Coturnix japonica: one gene and its partners. The protein of the gene in region 3 binds, or shares a complex with, the protein of the main gene of each other region. Links are inferred from orthologs where the notes say so. Each region holds a gene or a part of one and is shown on either strand. Other genes may lie near its edges.

What was found. The genes of interacting proteins can lie anywhere in the genome.
Region 1: TUBGCP5 (region 3) and TUBGCP2 share a complex: the UniProt entries of both Homo sapiens proteins name them as parts of the gamma-tubulin ring complex. The link is inferred for Coturnix japonica from reciprocal best matches to the Homo sapiens genes TUBGCP5 and TUBGCP2.
Region 2: TUBGCP5 (region 3) and NME7 share a complex: the UniProt entries of both Homo sapiens proteins name them as parts of the gamma-tubulin ring complex. The link is inferred for Coturnix japonica from reciprocal best matches to the Homo sapiens genes TUBGCP5 and NME7.

Annotation. Positions count from the first base shown.
Region 1 is NC_029521.1:5,974,008-5,977,507, forward strand, and holds part of TUBGCP2 (gamma-tubulin complex component 2), read left to right. Parts: coding exon 1-179; intron 180-391; coding exon 392-572; intron 573-1,183; coding exon 1,184-1,356; intron 1,357-2,237; coding exon 2,238-2,366; intron 2,367-3,278; coding exon 3,279-3,399; intron 3,400-3,500. UniProt on the Homo sapiens protein: Component of the gamma-tubulin ring complex (gTuRC) which mediates microtubule nucleation.
Region 2 is NC_029516.1:74,983,862-74,987,361, reverse strand, and holds part of NME7 (nucleoside diphosphate kinase 7), read right to left. Parts: intron 1,716-3,500; coding exon 1,665-1,715; intron 1,135-1,664; coding exon 927-1,134; intron 1-926. UniProt on the Homo sapiens protein: Possesses an intrinsic kinase activity. Displays 3'-5' exonuclease activity with a preference for single-stranded DNA. Does not seem to have nucleoside diphosphate kinase activity.
Region 3 is NC_029516.1:117,471,990-117,474,686, reverse strand, and holds part of TUBGCP5 (gamma-tubulin complex component 5), read right to left. Parts: intron 2,473-2,697; coding exon 2,347-2,472; intron 1,784-2,346; coding exon 1,695-1,783; intron 823-1,694; coding exon 722-822; intron 1-721. UniProt on the Homo sapiens protein: Component of the gamma-tubulin ring complex (gTuRC) which mediates microtubule nucleation.

The DNA.
Region 1 (3,500 bases), on a different chromosome or scaffold from region 3:
AAATACTTGAACGTTGTGCGAGAATGTGGACGTGATGTTACCTGCCCTGTGGCTAAAGAGGTCATCTACACGTTAAAAGAGCGAGCGTATGTAGAACAAATAGAAAAAGCATACAACTATGCTAGCAAAGTGCTTCTGGATTTCCTAATGGAGGAGAAAGAGCTTGTGGCTCACCTAAGGTTTGATTTGTTTTGTTAAATATGTGTTAGATAGGTTGGTTCTGATGGCAAATGTCAGGTTTTAAAGTTAGCTCTCTTTTCCTGGGACAGCACACATAAAAAAAATTTAAAAAATAGTTTCCAAGTAGGTTATTTTTGTCTGTTAAAAAAGCAAGTTAAAAACCATGGTTTTTTTGGAAACAATAATCAATGATCTTCATTTTCTTGAGCAGATCTATAAAACATTATTTCCTGATGGATCAAGGGGACTTTTTTGTTCATTTCATGGATCTCACAGAAGAGGAACTTAAGAAGCCTGTAGATGACATTATAACTACTAGGCTAGAAGCACTGCTTGAGTTGGCCTTGCGAATGAGCACAGCCAACACAGACCCTTTCAAGGATGATTTAAAGGTAAAAAAGTGCATGAGCAAAAGGCTTGCTGTGTATTGAGGAGGTCTCTGTGCCTATGAGAAACTGCTGAAAATGCAGTGAAAAAGAGAAGAATTGATGACTGTATTTCTGTAGACCTTCTCTGGGTGAAGTCTCTTTATTTCATTGACAGTAGCAATGGGAAGCAATGCAGCAAGGGGCTGCGTTTTCTTGTTGATGTCTGAGCACGGAGAAAGTGCTTTAGAGTGGCATCAGGATGAGGTGAAAGCAGTAATGTATCTCTCACCCACATTCTCAATCTTGGATGCCCATTTTGGAGTACAAGAAAATCCTTGATTATAAGTTCTGACTACTAATGATTGTTGCAGCTCGGTTGAAAGCCTTAACAAATGTGAACCAGCACACAAGCTGTGCTTGGGGAGGTTGATATGACTTTATAAACTGCACAGCAACACTGCTCTGCTGTCTGCTGCAGCACTGTTCAGATGATGCTATTCCTCATTGCTCCCTAGGTTGATGTAATGACTGGAGATTATCTCTGACAATTTGTAACTCTTCTGTCACTCAACTGTTGTTACCTGGTACTTGTGAGTACCCTGTGGCTTCATTGTTTTTCTGCTCTTTCTTTGTAGATTGATTTGATGCCCCATGACCTCATTACGCAGCTCTTGAGAGTATTGGCCATAGAAACAAAACAGGAAAAGGCCATTATAGGTGCGGATCCCACAGAGCTCACTCTCAGTGGTCTGGAAGCATTTTCTTTTGACTATATTGTTAAGTGGCCTCTGTCCCTGATTATAAACAGGTAAGGTATCCATCTACCATAAAACAAACAAAAATGGTCAGAAGCTTTTGTACAGGTTTACGTTTCCAAACAGCAAAATGCTGCAACGTCTGGGCCATTTTGCATTAAATTGAGTTAGGATAAACAGAATGCTTTGTTTTTCTATAGTGACTTGCTTCTCCACGGAAACAGGGCACTGGCAGACTGTGAGCCAGGCAAATGGGTCAGGCAGCATTAGGTGGTAAATGCCAGCAGTATCTCCTCACTTCTGTAAAATAATCAATTGACACAGTGGAACCTTCATAATGACACAACGTATCTGAAATTATGTCTCTTTCGTTCATAATGGGTGTATTAACTTCGATGGTAACTATGGAAGTGAAAATACTAAGTACAGTTTCACAAACTGTATTGGCTGGAGCTCTGTAGACGCCTACAGCTGAAGTGTCTGAGCACAGACCTGCACCCAGTCCCCGAGGCTATAAATAAGCATCCCCATCTGCTTCTGACAGTGCTGCCTATAGCTTGGTTGCAGTTTATCTTATTGGAAAATCCTGGTGAATTACTGTGGCAGTCATAGCAACGTTGGTGCAGCACAGACACAACTGTAGGTTTTCAGACCTCTGTCCCAGCTTGTATGTAAGTGATCTTTCTGCAGGTTGATCGAGGGCATCAGAGAAAGAGGCTCATGAAGTACCTGGTGAAGGACGAAATCCTTTGGGATGATTACACATGCTTTTAGTTTTTTATTCATCTGTTAGAATTATTTCATCAAAGGTGTGTGTGTGTGTCTGAAGGTGTATGGAGCATATTGTGTTAAGACTCCCTTGAAGTAGCTTCAGCCTTCACGGCTTATTCTGTCAATCAGAAGAGAACTTAATCTGAATCCCCTTTCTTTCCAGGAAAGCACTGACAAGATACCAGATGCTTTTCAGACACATGTTCTATTGCAAACACGTGGAAAGACAGTTGTGCAATGTTTGGATCAGCAATAAAACAGCCAAGCAGTTCTCCCTACATTCAGCTAAATGGTATGGCTTCTTTTTCTGTTGAGGCTTTGTTTTTTTCCTTCTCCCTAGTTAGATGCATTGTGGCATGAATCAGATTATTTTGACATGGAACATATCGTTGCAAATTTCTGACAGGCAGAGGGAGGTCAGACAGAACATTTTAGGATGCAGTAGGAAGTGTCTGCTGAATAATCTTCAGGCTGCTTGACTTGTTTCTCTTTGGTGGCGCAAAGTTTGGAAAAGGAATTGTAAGGAACACACGGTGTCCTGAATTGGAAGGGACTCATGAGGATCTTTGAGTCCAACTCCTGGCTCCACACACAGGACTACTCAAAATCCAAACCTTATGTCTGAGAACACTCATTGAGCGCTGGCAGCTTGGGGTTGTGACCTCTGCCTGTTCCATGCCCACCACCTTCAGTCTCAGATGGTCTCAATGAAGCACAGGGCAGGCCTGTGGCACTGCAAGGAAACACCTTCTGTCTTGTCAACAGCACTCACTTCTCACAGGGTACCCTCAGCTACCTTGACACTGACCTCAGCCAGCATGGGCTCTTGGTCTTTTGACACTGTATAAGGATTAGTGGAAGAGACCTGGGGGGGATCTGTAGTGCACACTGCTAGCAAACACATCTCACTAGTTAAAGTGATAACATGGCTTTAATACTGTCCATTTATGTTTGGATGTCATCAGATTACTGTGTCTAGTGCACAGCAGGTGCCACGCTCTGAATCTTGTAGTTGAAGGGAAAGTCATTTCCATACATGGAACTAAATCAGAGATGCTCTGCAATAACTTTGTAATCACTCTCAGACTGCAACAGAGGATTTGCTAGGACAGAAATAGTTAGCTCTGCTTTGCTCGGCTTTGCAGGCTTGGTTCTCTGTGGCATTTGCTAGCTCAAAGTTGTGTGGGTGTGATTTCTCCCCTAGGTTTGCTGGTGCTTTCACACTGCGGCAGCGAATGCTGAATTTTGTGCAGAATATCCAGTATTACATGATGTTTGAAGTGATGGAGCCAACGTGGCACATTCTCGAGAAGAACTTGAAATTGGTGAGTGTGTGTGCTCGAGAGAAGTTAGAACAGAAATCGTATGTTACCACATTTGGTGTAGGGAGAAGATGCCTTGTTTTAGGTACTGTTAAATGTCTTAT
Region 2 (3,500 bases), about 42 Mb from region 3:
TTTATAAAAATTCAACTTTATCCAAACTCTTTCTAGATAGGTACCACTTCCACTAGACTTGCCACCACAAGAAGTATTCCATGTCTGGAAAGTAACTTATTAAAACTACAGTCAAGCAGAGAAGCCCGTAGACCAGGTACCACTCAGACACCTGAGCATGGTGCTTAAACAATGCCCAGGCCTCACAGTGCTGAGCAAGGACACAGCAGCTGCAGCAAGGGGCTGACTCTACCCTGATTGCTAGCACATCGTCGTCTAGTACACAGTAGCTGGTAGTTTATAAGTTATCCCAGAACTGGTCTCTTTCAAGCTGTGCTACTGCAGCTGTTCCAGTGTAAGAAGAGGAAAAGACTGGGATCCAGAAGGCAACAGTTATCTTTTCCCTGCTAGTCTAAAGCTAAGATAATACAGTGCAGTACCAAACAACTGTTAGGTAAACTTTATTCTAGCCATTGCTTATCAGCAGATCTACCCCCATCAGTGAACATAAACACCTCTGTTCTATAGAAATGCTGGTAATATTTAATCACCCAGCCCTAGGGCTTTCTTAACACTCTAAGAAAATACAGACTACAAAGTAAAAGAGAACTCCTAGAAGCCAGGCCTGCTGTATTACCTTTCAGAACACAAAGCAATACAAAATGGTCTGCCTTCATAAATATTTGTTATGCATAATGGGAGCAGAGTTTTTCGAAGACTAGGCATGTTCTCCTGATCAAAGTATCCAAAACTTCCGTTTATGACAAAGATAAACAAGATTCCTGTTTCCAGACAGTCTATTTTTGCAGGCTAAAAAGGAGCAACATAGAATACCTATTCATTCTGAACTCAAACGGGAAAAAAAGAAATGAGGAATTCCTGATCTAGTAGTGTTATCGAATTAAATTAATAAGAAAACTAGTTAAGTGACACAGTCAAAAACTTACTCGAGCGGCTGAGGCTACTGAATCTGGGCCATGAGCTGCATTTTTTAGGCCATCATGTCCGAAGTTTGCTCTGATGCTTTCCGGTTCATCAGTTCGAGCAACTGCAGAATTTGCAGGCCCCAATAATGTCTTCCACTTACAAATTGCATCATCCCGTAAGATTTCCATAGCAACAACAGGACCACTTGTTATAAACTGGAGAAGCTCACTGCAAAATGGAAACAGCATATGGTGATCCAGGCTGTAAATTAAAGCCAACGAAAATATGCAATCCAGTAGAGATGTTCAAAACTCAACTCAGCAAAGCCTATGAACAACCTAACCTAACTTTGTAGGCTCTGCTCTGAGGACAACTTTTGTTCTCATTGATTTGAAATGATTTATAATTGTTTCTAAATTTGAGAAGAATCCTATATAGAAGATGTAGTGAATAACACTCTAGAAGGAAAGACCAAGCAGGCATGGACAAAAGCTTAAGGTCCCACAGATAACTACAAGTTGTGTAGACAGACATCTGTGAAATAACAGCACAGGCAAAACTCTTGCTTGCAAATCAACATATTCAAACATAATTATTCAGCAAAGAAAATGGAGTTCTAGATCTCCTGATCTCCATCATGGTCAGACATAGCCTGTACTTATGTCTCACTGAAGGGCTTGAGTTTGGACCCACAATAAATCAGTTGCTGTTGCAGAACAATAAATATATGCATCAAGTTAAAAAAACAATGTACCTACTTATAAAAAGGTCTTGATTGATGGTCTACGTAGAAATCAGCTGCTTCTTTTCTGGAAGAGTAAACAGACACAGCTTTATATATGCACAGGCATTTATATGTGCATATATATATACACGCACACTCGCACGTATATATAAACCCTGAGAACCACAAACTATCATTCATCAACATTTTTCTACACATAATGCCTTCCCAAGTTGGAAAATGTATGGGGCATTCATACCCAGTAAAAGAATTCATACCCATACACTGCTCCAGAAGTAATGCCTCCTATTTATTTCAACAGAAACTGCAATAGATACAAAGAGTACAATAACATTATTTGATAGTATTTGTACCTGAGAATCTTCTCTGCTTTTTAACAGTTACTTCCACTAGCTGTGCATTTTCACCAGTGATAAACCAGACCCTGCATGCCACTCCCATCCAAAACTGCACCAGTGGAAGTGACCCACTATTGTTGTCACCAGTGTTGAAATGTAACCACCTGCCATCTTACTTGGCCCACATCTGCTGTTTGGTTCCCAGAAACACTCAGTAAGCATCAGTGAATGTCTCTGGGTGCTATTTTTTCCTGCATGGAGGAATTCAATATGACACACCTTTGCTTCATCTGCATTCCCATGTCAGATGCCACTTTGTCAGACTGCCCCTCTTCTGCCATCTGCCACGTGGAAACAGCATGTGAGGGAATACTGCTGTGAAGGTTCAGCCTCCACCACCATCTCACACAATATCACAGGAGGCATTACTTTTGGAGCAGCACTCTTACATTTAACTTTGTCATACTGAGCATGGTCAGAGGTATAATCGACTCCTCTTCACAGTCCTGATCTGGGAAGGAAGTTATCACTGCAACCTGTAACTAAGATTTTCAAGGTCACTGATGGGCTCCACATTCTCAGGTTGGGAAACAAACAGCAGAAACAGCCACTTGACAAGCTGTTCACTGTTACATTGCTTTGATCTTGCAGTTCAGCTTGAGTGTGTATGTTGGGTAACGAAATCTGGTTTTAAAGCATAAATAAACAATTTATCTGCTTCATTGAAACTTATTTCCTTATTGGAGCTAGTGTTTGATGACAGTTAACAACAGCATATTGCATAATCTGGTTTCTACTCAGTATCCACAAATGTTACAATTCAAATAGGCAGCACAACCCCTCTAGATTAAAACATGCTTTCTCATACTCTTTTCCCTTTGATAACTGAGTATTGTCATGCACTTCCCTCAGGGAGAACTCCAGTTACTAGCATTGCCTTCTCTCATAGCAAGGGATTTCCATAATGAGGAGGGCTCTGTATCTTGTCAGGTAAACAAAGGCCAGCAAGCACACAAAGTATCCATACTGCAGCTGTTATTTAGTCACAGTACCTAAGTACAGAGACAGCACAGCTGATGCTGCAGGCTAAATGCCAGAATATTCATCATTAACACAGGATGATGGCCCTCTCCAAGCTTTACATCGCCACAGCCATGCTGCTAGTTAGTGCTCAGTTTCAGGGTCTGCAGTACAGGCCCACGTTCCATCCACCTGTGAAACATCACTTTGGCTTTTCACCTTCCCACTTCCTGTGCTAGACAGCCCACTCTCCTCCCTCCTTTTTCTCAAACCACACCTCGTGCAAACTCTTGCTGCCTTCACTGTTTTTTTCTACATGAAAACAGCTAGAAGAATCTATGAGAGTTTTCAAGTTTAGCTGTTATCTTCCAACTGCAACTTCAAAATTCCAGTTCAGAAGTGCAGGTTTGGTCTTGGCTTGCTCCAAATCCTTGTGCGTAGCATATTCTGATGCTGTAATTTGAGGAGAAGGATAAGCTCTTCAGATGGAC
Region 3 (2,697 bases):
TTTAATTACCTATATAGAAGACTGCCTTGGCTGTATCAGTCAAGGGATACAGGCTGAGGGAGCTGGGCTTGTTCAGCCTGGAGAAAAGAAGGGCTTGTTCAGCCTGGAGAAAAGAAGGCTGCAAAGAGACCTCAACTGCACACTTCCAGTGTTTAGAAGGGGATTATAAACAGGAGCGGAATCAACATTTTACAAGGGTAGAGAGTGATAAGACAAGGGGGAATGGTTTTAAGCTCAAGGAGGAAAGGTTTAGATTGGATGTCAGGAGGAATTTCTTTACAGAGAGACTGATGAGGTGCTAGCACAGGCTGCCCGGAGCTGTGGATTCCGCATCCCTGGAGGTGTTGAAGACCAGGTTGGATGGGGTCCTGGGCAGCCTGCTCCAGCACCACATGTGGAGGTTGGTGGCCCTGCCTGTGGCAGGGGTTTGGAACTTGATGACCATTGGGTCCCCTACAACCCAAGCCATTCTGTGATTCTATGATCCTTTCTTCAAGCAAACAGCTAAACTGGAGACAGTAGTCATGAAAAAGAAAATAAGGTACATGTATTCTAGAATGAATGAATTCAACTTATTTGAAAGTAAGGCTTTATGTTTCTCTGACTACTTCATTTATTACTTTCACAAATGAGATTCTTTAATCTGTACTGACTAACAGATTAAAACTTAAACACATTTTGTGTGATGAGTGCAGGCAAATGAAAAGAATCATGTACTTACAGTGAGGAAATGAGCCTCGGCAGACAGCTTTGTTGAGGACAGTTACAAGAAACATGTGGCAGTTTTTAAAGTCAGACTCCATTTTCTCTATGGATTCCATCCTACAAAGTAGAAGGGAGGTACACTTACCACTCAGTTGAGCAACTGTTACCTTCAAAATATAACCACAATTTCACAGCGAACGACCAGCACGTTCTCTGCATTGCATTCCATCTTGAATTTAAAAGATTCTAGTTATATCTGAGTATGCCACACTAGCTGTGGCAAATTTAGACTGGAGTGCCTGAGCACTGTATCAGAGTGGCATTACTAAGGATAGTCATCTCTTTGTAAGTGTCTGCAGTTACTAGGGGGAACTTTGTGGTTTCAGCTGATGAGTCTGAGGTCTTCACAGGAATTTCAAGACAGCCATTCCTTGTGCCAATTGCTTTGGAGATAAACTTACAGTGCCAAATAAAACGGAGACAGATAGCAAGTTAAACAGGCCCCAATCACCCATACTGCCTTCTTATTACAGAATCACAGAACAACACACAATTGTAGGGGCAGGAAAGGAACTCTAGAGGTCACCTAGACATTACATGAAAATCTTCACCCCAAAGTCAACTTTCATAGATTTCAACATGTCCACATTTTTGCCCTTGAAATTTTCACAAAGGTTTTATAATGTGGACAGTCTAAGTTACAGAAATAAGGTTATTTAGGTATTAGATTTAGATTTGGATGAATACCTCTTTTTGTTGCTACACTCTGCAATCTTTTCAAATACTCTAAAGATACCTAGGAACCATACTTGGCATTAGAAAACGCTGAATATGCACTCACACAAGCATATGTTATGTTCTATCTCAGATAATTTTCACTTTTGTTAAGAAACCGTGATTAGCTTCTGGCACCTACTGTTAAACATCCCAAAAGCACATTGTGAGCTGTGAAATCATGACTGTGTATTATTTTAGGTATGTACACTTACTTCCAAGCTCCCAAACCCGCTTGCCAACGGTCTGCAAACATCAGCACTACATTTAAAACTTTCATTATAGCCTCCTTCACAAAGCTCACCTAAAGTCACAAAAGGAATAGCAATAAGAAAAATAATTGTTAATGAATTGCATAATCATTTTCATTGTTAAGGATACAAAAGTATCCTACGCCATTTAATCTCATCTGTAAAAGTGGTCTCCAAGGTATTAGACAAGACTGCCCAGTTAAGATGTATCTTGTATTTGCCCTCATTCATTTCATGATGATTTCACTGAGGATTAGCACAGACAGTATATGAGATTGATGACTGCAACAATGTATGTCTTCATTTCCTACCACACTAGCACGTACAATCCTCACTACATTTCCAAGCCTGTTTGTTCAAATCCCAGCACCTCTGAAAGACAAATGTATGTAAACTCCAATGTAAATGATTTAATTTTCTCTTCTTTATAGAAACAAAACTGAGACTTATGAGGGAAACAACATCACCATTAATCCTGAACAAGTTACCGCTTCCTCAAAAGGATCTATTTATTACAATGTATGTATGACCTACAAAATAGTCACAGCATAGTTAGTACAAAACTATTATCATGCCCTACTGAACTCAATACATCAAATATTCCGTTTTTACCCACCTTTTCTCTTAGTAAGCAGCGATCATGGATTGTAGATAGGTATCTATAATGAATCTTTATTAATTGATCCAAATCTTTAGCTTCTTCTACCTGGTGCTGAAATTCCAAGCCGGTACTGTGAAGAATCTGAAAGAGAAAACCACAGCTAATTAAATCCTATGTTGCACAGAAATCCTTGTGACTCATTTCCAAGACTTTCTTTTTGAGAGCCAATAACTGCCTGATACATTCACTCTTCCCTTTCCAGTCTCAGCTGTGAGGCTCATCCTGCTAGCCACTAAAAAGTAAAAACTCTGAATTCATCTCATAACTCAGTGATGTTTTGTATACTTTGTACAAGTAGGAACATTA